2 linked regions of the Coturnix japonica genome follow. The protein of the gene in region 1 purifies or fractionates together with the protein of each later gene. This does not show direct contact. Links are inferred from orthologs where the notes say so. Each region holds a gene or a part of one and is shown in the gene's direction. Other genes may lie near its edges.

The links.
Region 2: the proteins of TOLLIP (region 1) and CSTF1 purify together in Homo sapiens (co-immunoprecipitation; 3 studies listed by BioGRID and IntAct, with this or other methods). This does not show direct contact. The link is inferred for Coturnix japonica from reciprocal best matches to the Homo sapiens genes TOLLIP and CSTF1.

The regions. Positions count from the first base shown.
Region 1 is NC_029520.1:9,915,384-9,919,194, reverse strand, and holds part of TOLLIP (toll-interacting protein), read left to right. Parts: intron 1-1,511; coding exon 1,512-1,661; intron 1,662-2,829; coding exon 2,830-3,012; intron 3,013-3,811. UniProt on the Homo sapiens protein: Component of the signaling pathway of IL-1 and Toll-like receptors. Inhibits cell activation by microbial products. Recruits IRAK1 to the IL-1 receptor complex. Inhibits IRAK1 phosphorylation and kinase activity.
Region 2 is NC_029535.1:10,852,490-10,856,759, reverse strand, and holds the start of CSTF1 (cleavage stimulation factor subunit 1), read left to right. Parts: upstream 1-1,304; 5' UTR 1,305-1,360; coding exon 1,361-1,489; intron 1,490-2,072; coding exon 2,073-2,243; intron 2,244-2,699; coding exon 2,700-2,895; intron 2,896-3,933; coding exon 3,934-4,211; intron 4,212-4,270. Other genes in the region: AURKA (aurora kinase A), read right to left, coding at 93-146. UniProt on the Homo sapiens protein: One of the multiple factors required for polyadenylation and 3'-end cleavage of mammalian pre-mRNAs. May be responsible for the interaction of CSTF with other factors to form a stable complex on the pre-mRNA.

The DNA.
Region 1 (3,811 bases):
AAAGTAACAGCTGGACTCATGAAGTGCTTGGAGATGGATGAAAGCAAAGCAGGTGGTAAATTTCTAGCAAAAAGAATCATGAGAATGAGTTAAGAACTGTCTGATAGCTTGCAGTTTGCTACCCTTTTTATTTTGCTTTATTATTCATTAAGGCTTATTAATTTTTAAAGCTTATTAAATGTAGATCTTTCCTTTGCCTGTCTCTAAATTGAGAAGCTTAAGTAGAGCCTTGGGCTACAGTTCTACAGAAGTTGGAGATTCATGCAGTAATATTAGTTGTATAGAATCGAAATTGCTGAGGCTAGACGGGGTATCAGGAAGCCAAGTAAACCAAGCTTCCTTTATAGTTGCCTTGGTGCCACTTAGTGTTGCATGATGATTGAGAGGTAACATGAAGAGGAGTCTAAGGCAGCCCAGGCCTGAACAGCTCCACAGAGCCATTGGTCTGAGTAGTAACTTGATGGTTGTGGGTGGTGGTTGTTTGATTGATACATCTGCTGCGTTTTTGCTCTAAAGAACCTCAAAATGAGGTATTAGATGTTTCTAGCAGACAGAAGGCGCGATGTTCTGTTCCTAGGTAATTCATATTCTTGATTTGCAACGCTGTCGGTAAAGCTTATTAAGAAGTGATTACAAGGCAGACTTACTGTTATGAATGCCTGCTCGACATCTGCCTGAAGAATTAAGTTTGATGGTGACGCCATTATAATTGTCTTACATGAAAAATGAATCTAGTAAATTCAGCTGTTAGATGGAATTTTTATGGCGCAGTTAATGATTGGGCGGTGTTGAATTTCACCTTCTTCCTGGACTGTTACAGTAGTAGAGGGAATGCCTCTGTAAAGTGGCACTTTAAAGACACTTGAAAATGGTTCCCTTCTGTAAAATTACTTTTTCAGCATGAAATTCTAAGATGCGTGTGAGCAGAAGTGCATCTTTCCCATCTCTCCCAGCAGCAGGCAGCCAGCACTTCCTCTTCAGTGGCTTTGATACACTTCCTCTCTGCCATGTGACACCTACTGCTGCCAGGATCCCTGAGGCTTTTCAACGGAGCCAAATGCGTCTCTTGCCAAATCACAGTTGGTGTGACTGTTGCTATCTCAAGGATGCAATCTTGGCGTGCAAGTGCTGTCTAATCTTCAAAAGGGATGTCCTAGGGGCCTCCTCGCTTCTGACAGCATGTTCTGTAGGCATGTGTTTGCTGGATACACAGTTGAGTAATCCTGTCTGAGACAGTAATGTAAGAAATTGCAATGTCTTTTGTCTTCATACGTTAGATAGATTTTTATTAAATATGGAAGCAGCTCTATAGGCAGTAGAGATGAGCTTAGTTGTTTTTCTGCCGTGCTGTGTGACAGGTGCTTTATTTATTTATTTGTTCATGCTGTCAAAACTAGAGTAAAATGCTGAGTGTTTTTCCCGAGGTTCTTGGGTCTTTTGTTCCTTTCCATTGTTTGTTATGAAAGTGGGAGCTCTAAGCTTAAAATCTTTTCTTTTATTGTTTTTTCCAGGTGTATGTTGGTGAACTTCCTCAAGACTTTCTTCGTATTACTCCAACCCGGCAGCAACAGCAAATCCAACTGGACGCCCAGGCAGCTCAACAGCTGCAATATGGAGGACCCATGAGTACAGTAGGCAGACTGAGCATTACTGTAGTACAGGTATAAATTGTACCAATAGAAACTTCAGTCATTTTTTTGTCAGTGGCCACAAAAGTCTTTGTGTTGAATGTTCTACTCAACTGCTTGGTTTTAAGGAAGCGTGTAGTTTTCAAGGTTGTGCATCAATCGTAATGAATTTAAGTGCTGTTGATTATATTCTCCTAAATTATTACATTGATAATTTATATGCTGTGTTCTGGTAGCATTTTATGTCAAGCTTCTTAATCTCAGGACTTCAGGGTCTAGAGAGAAAAATAACATGGGTGCTAACTTTCCTACTTTAATTTGCATAGCCCACATTTACAAGGAACAGTGTAAGTGTATGTCTTGAAGTATGAAAGGCCTTTCTGGCCAGAGCTGCAGCTGCTGTGCCTAAATCTGTTGCAAATCTCAACTGTTTGAACTCCTTAAACCTCCTGCAGATGAGAGGCATCATAGGCACCTTTTTTCTTTTTTTTTTTTTAAGCATAAAAACTAATTCTATGCAATCTTTTACAGGTTAGAGCAATAGGTCATATAAACCTGTGTTCTGCTTGACATAGCTGTGCAGCAGTACTTGGTGCTGTCTTTAGGACCGTCACAAACTTGTTTTTTTTCTGTTCCCCTGATGTTATAATGAAAGTATATTGGGTAACTTCAGATTATGTGCTGTATCTGTGTCCTTCCAGTACCATCACACTGAAGTTGCCCTCTGAATTATGTAACATCAAATACACGCTCTCATATCTTAAAAGTATAAACAGCTGGATTTTACTCTAAGTGGTTTCTTTTTACAGCAAACATGGTGTGATATTCTCAAATCTGTTATTTCATCCTTTGAAATATTTCAGTAAAAGAGGGTAGGCTACGTGCAATGTGGAGTTCCATTGGAGGGCAGAAATCAAGGCGAAAACTGAACATAATACAATTCCCTTGTAACCATATGTCTGCTGGTTTTATTATGAGGTAATTTTAGCTTTGGTGAAGATGTGTATTTTCTGTACAAGACACTTTAAAAAGAGTCTTGTCAAGTTTTCTCAAGCACTTAATGACATCATTGACTTTTTTTTCTCTACCTCAATTTAATGTATTTGTTTGACGTTTGATTCTTTGTGATCTAATTGTAACCACAAGTTATTGTACATATTACACGCTTAAAGGGCTTTCTTTTTTTTTTTTTTTTTTCCAGGCAAAATTGGCAAAGAACTATGGAATGACCCGCATGGATCCCTACTGCCGGATACGGCTGGGGTACGCTGTGTATGAAACCCCCACAGCACATAATGGAGCCAAGAACCCTCGCTGGAACAAAGTTATTCAGTGCACTGTTCCTCCGGGTGTGGACTCTTTTTACCTAGAGATATTTGATGAGGTCAGAATGTTGATACTGCTTTTGTTTCCTCATCCCTTGGTTGGGCTGAGGTTTGGGTGGAGTCCTGCAAGGTAGAATTGAGTTAGCAAAGGTTGTTTCTTAGCTGCTCTCTCTGGGAGATAGTGCTGATTTATCAGATTCTTAAGAGCAGCAATATGTGAAGCTGTGCTCTACTCCAAGAACATCAGCCCAAGAATGCCAGAGCTTGGAATACCATAATGTTAGAGGAGCTCCCAGCAAATAAAGAGAAGTGTCATCTGAGCTGTTCTTCACTGTCAAGATGTGTTGCAGCCTTATATTCTCTACTTCTCCTATTAAAAATAGCAACTATTTACATTGCTGGGTTAGCCTGAGATTTTTCATTGTTCTAGCCCACATAAAGGTTAACTGCAAGCCCATTAGTACTGAGAATTAACCAATCATATATGGAATGTGTAGTCACTTGGAATAATTCACAGAATCAACTCTATCTATGTTTGAATTTAATGGCAAGTCCCTCCATGTCCACTTATGTATGTTTTCCTTAACATACAGTGGTGATAAACTGTTTACAAGTTACAGATTTCAGTTTCTCGGAGATTAAGTACATCTGATTAACAGCTCAGCTGAATAATCTGCTCTGCAAACGTTGCTTATGAGAGTAGTACTGTCATAAACTCTAATGTGTTATTCTACTAGATGTTGTTATTGGCAGCAGGGAGTATGTGCCTATGTGTTAACTGTTCCATTTGGGGATGTTGACTTTGACTTAGAACAAACTTGTGTTCTCAGGTAATGTTAGAGGCTACAACTGAGGCAA
Region 2 (4,270 bases), on another chromosome or scaffold:
CTGCACTACTAGGACTTCCCAATTAAATAATTGGATGTTAATAACAGCAGCCAGAAGCTCAGTCACCCCCATCAACTCGATAAGCCTCTCACCTTAATAACACGAGAAGGGTTCCCAGGACAGTTCTCTTTTATCTTCTTGTCCATAGTGCCCGAGAAAAGCAAGATACACTTTCACCTATGGAGAATGAAACAGAGAACAGGGCTGAGCCTCCAAGCAGCGCCACTCCTCGGACGTGCTGCTCTCCCTTTGCCCCCTAGGCCTCACTTTAGGCCTCCCCCTAGGCCTGCCCGCCCCAGCTCCGTAACGGCCGGGCCGTACCCACACCACACGCCGGCTGGGCCGCCCTCGAGGCAGGTAAGGCCGCAGGTAAGGCCACAGCACAGCACCACGCGAGGCCCGACCCGGCCCAGCCGTCCCCACACTCACCTCGGCCCGCGGCCGCTACAACTGTTTGAATTCAAACCTCCCTCCCTTAAATAGCCTTTAAAATTCCGCCCCCTCGCCATTGGCTCCTCTCCTGGCATCCGCGCCCTCCGATTGGCCGCTTTTCAGTCTACCTGCCTTCCCATTGGCTCTCCTGACTCCCCGCTCGTCGCGAGGCCTAGACTCGTCGCCGTGAGCTTGCGGTGCGCATGCGCAACGGCGGCCCGCTGCGTACCCGCGTCGTCCCGACCCGCCCACCCTTTGGGCGGCGTTTACGTTACATACGTACTTTACGTACCGTCTGTCCGCCGCTTGTTTCTTCCGTACTCCAAGTGCGTGGATCGAGCTCACACACTTTCTCTCCGTAAGTCTCAGCCCGGCCGCGGTCTCTCGTTACGCAAATCGCGTTACGTCCAGCCCACCCACCTGTGGCAGCGCTACAACTCCCGCTCAACGAGGCCTCGGGGGTGAAGGGCTCCAGGTTAGTGCTGCATCCAGCCGGGCTCACACCTCGATCCTCCTCAGCGTCACCTGGGGCTGAGGGAGACGCGGCGCTGCCACCTCGCGTGAAGCCGAGTGGGAGCTGGGGGCCATTGTGTGCTGAGGTGCGACGGGCAGCAGCAGGAGGAGCATCAGGCCTCAGCTTCGCACGGCGCTGCTCCACGTGCCCTTAACGAGCCTTAAGGGGGCACCAACCCAGCTCAGCACGAGGGGACGCCCGGCTGTTGGCTGCACAGCGCCCGGTGCTGCTCGTGCATTGCGGAGCGGCTCGTGGTGCTGCTCTGTCTCACAGCACTGAGGGACCCGCTGCCTGAAGAAGCGATTGAAGGTATTGAAGGCAACTTATCAGCGGCTCCGCGTCCTTAACGACCCGGCTCGAGGGCGGTCCCGGTGTGTTGGTGTCGACAAGCGGGACACCATAGGGAAAAAGAAGATGTCCGGTCGTCGCGTGGCTGCAGCGTGTGACCGACGGCAGCTGCCGCGGGGCATGGGGAGTATGGGGAGCATGGCAGCTCCGCTGCTCGACCCGCGGCCGCTACGGCTGCCGTTTCTGGAGGCTGACGTGAGTAGCACGGGGCTGTGGGTTGGGTGGCGGTGGGACATGGAAGGGGCTGAGCTGGCTGAGCTGGCGGCCCTAAACACTCGTGAGGCCTGTGTGCCGTGGTGCCCCATGGCAGGTGTTGCGGTGTCCGGCAGCACCGTGCGGGTATTGTAGCCCAAACACAGACTCGCAGCCCCCAGCTGCGGTGCTCATAGCAGCTCTACGCTCCGATGGGCAGCACGGGGCGGTACTGGGCAACCTGATCTAGTAAAGGTGTATGTTTGGTGGCCCTGCCAGGCAGGGGGGTTGGAACTACGTGATCCTTGAGGTCCCTTCCAACCCGGGTCATTCTGTGTGTCTACGGGCCGCCTGGGCCTGCTCGAGGCTGTGCCCTGCCCGACACGTCACCCCACGGGCTGCAACCGGGTCCGAGCCACGGTGGAGGGGGCGTTGGATCCCGGGATCCCCGCTGGGCTCCGCTCTGCAGCCCGCCCCTTCCCCACCGGGCGGGGGGTCCTTTAACAAGGCAGGGGTCCTGTTAGAGCGGCCCGTCGCGTCCTTAACGCGTCACCGGTGACGTGACGCCGCCGTTCTCTCCCCTAAGAGTCGGCTCCAATCGATGTGCGGGCGCTCGATGCAGCAGCCCTCGCGGAGGAGCGTTCTTCGGTCTCGGCCGCCGCCGCCGCCTCCTCCTTTACCGCCGCCGCCGATCGATGCGCTCAGAGCTCCGGTCGCCATTTTAGGGGCAGAGCGAGGGAGGCAGAAGGAAGGGTCGGTAGGTACCGGCGGCCTCGTGTCGTTCTCCGCGTTCGGCTGCGAGGCCTCGGCTCGTTGCAGCGCAATAATGAGCTGCTCCCTCCGCCCGGCTCTGCGCTGTGCCCGCCCCCATTCAACCCCGTTCCCCACACGCCCCCTCCCGCTCCGTCCCCCTGCCCACTACTGCCAGCAATGGGCGCTACCAGCCCCATAACCCAAACCTGCTTTTTTTTCTCTTATTTTTTTTATTTTCTCCACGTTATTTCCTCCTTAATACAATCCTTGCTCCTTTTATTCGTCGGGTTTTTGTATCTGCAATAAAGATGCAGCAGATTTCTCTTGTTTTCTCTGTCTTTCGTTTCTCAGTCTCACCTAAAGTTTCAGTGTCATTACTGCTGATACTCACATTAAATAAAAGCTTTAATCATTTCATGCGACTCTCTTGTATGTGACTCTTCCTATTTATTTATTTCAGGCCCCTCCGAGGCATTCCTTGCTCACAATGTATAGGACAAAAGTCAGCTTGAAAGACCGTCAGCAACTTTATAAGCTAATCATTAGTCAGCTCCTGTATGATGGATACATAAATATTGCCAATGGTTTAATAAACGAGATCAAACCACAGTCAGTTTGTGCGCCATCTGAACAACTGCTGCATCTTATTAAATTAGGTAAGATGGGGTTAAAACAAAAGAACTGCTGTAAAGTTTGTGCTCCCAAATCCTTGGATTCAATCTTTGTGAGTGCTGTGGTGTTACTGAGAACACATCTCTTCTGTTTTCTATGCCTTTGTAGCAAACCACAGAGTTTTTATATCTTTATGTGTAGCCTGTGTTTCATTCTTTAGCACTGGAAGTGCTAAACAGGATCACAAGTCTACACATTTAATAGAAAGTTAGATCCATTACTACAGCACAACTCTATGTGGTTGTTCCTGGACATGTTGGGAATGGAGGAGTAAGTCCTTCCATTGGCCACCCTCATTGGCCTTTATATACCACTCTGCAGGAAACAAGCTTCACAGTGTAGGATCTTGGCAAAGGTGTGTTTCTTGTTCTCTCTGTGCGTCTTCCTGAAAGTATGAATGTGCTGCAGAAAGTAATCAGAATTCCTGAGCTGCTGTTGGAACAAGCCAGCTGGGTTGCTGGAAGAGTCCTAACAATGACAACATGTCTCCTCTCTATTGTAACTGAACTGGTTCTGCTGCTTGAACTAGTTGATTTCTATGGGTAAAAGTGTGGAGCCTCATCAGTCTGAAAGAAGATTACTAGGCTTGGCAGTCTGCAGATGAAAGCAGAACAAACTTTTCTGTGAAGCTGGGCACTTAAAACTTGTCTGTCCTTGCCTTGGTGCAGCTTGCAGTGCTGAACTGGCTGTATATGTATATCATGTAGATGCATAATGCAAATCAAAGTGATTCTTTAAGATGGGTTTCAAGTAATAATTTTCATTATTTAGTATTTATTTTTAATATTTTTTTTATATCTTTATTCTGTGTTTAGTCAAACTGCCTTTCGCTCTTCATGAGAGATATTGCTGTTCTACATGTAGATCTGTTCTGCTAGCTTAGCTTTGTTCAGCATGGGCTTTCTCTCCTAAATCCTGAGCTTCAGAGCTACCAAAGAAGTGTGTAGGATAGATACGAGCATAGCCTGCCTGTCTAAAGAGGAGGTAAGCCTGTTTTAAGAATGTCAACTTTCTCTTTTCAGGGATGGAGAATGATGACAGTGCTGTTCAGTATGCAATTGGACGGTCAGATACAGTAGCTCCAGGCACAGGAATCGACTTAGAATTTGATGCAGATGTACAGACCATGTCTCCTGAGGCTTCTGAGTATGAGACTTGTTATGTCACATCTCATAAGGGACCGTGTCGTGTAGCAACGTATAGCAGAGATGGACAGCTAATAGCTACAGGATCTGCTGATGCCTCAATAAAAATTCTTGATACGGAGAGAATGCTGGCCAAAAGCGCTATGCCCATAGAGGTAAAATATGACTTGAATCATAGTCACTGTGTGAATTCTTGAGCTGATGTCTCTGTTTC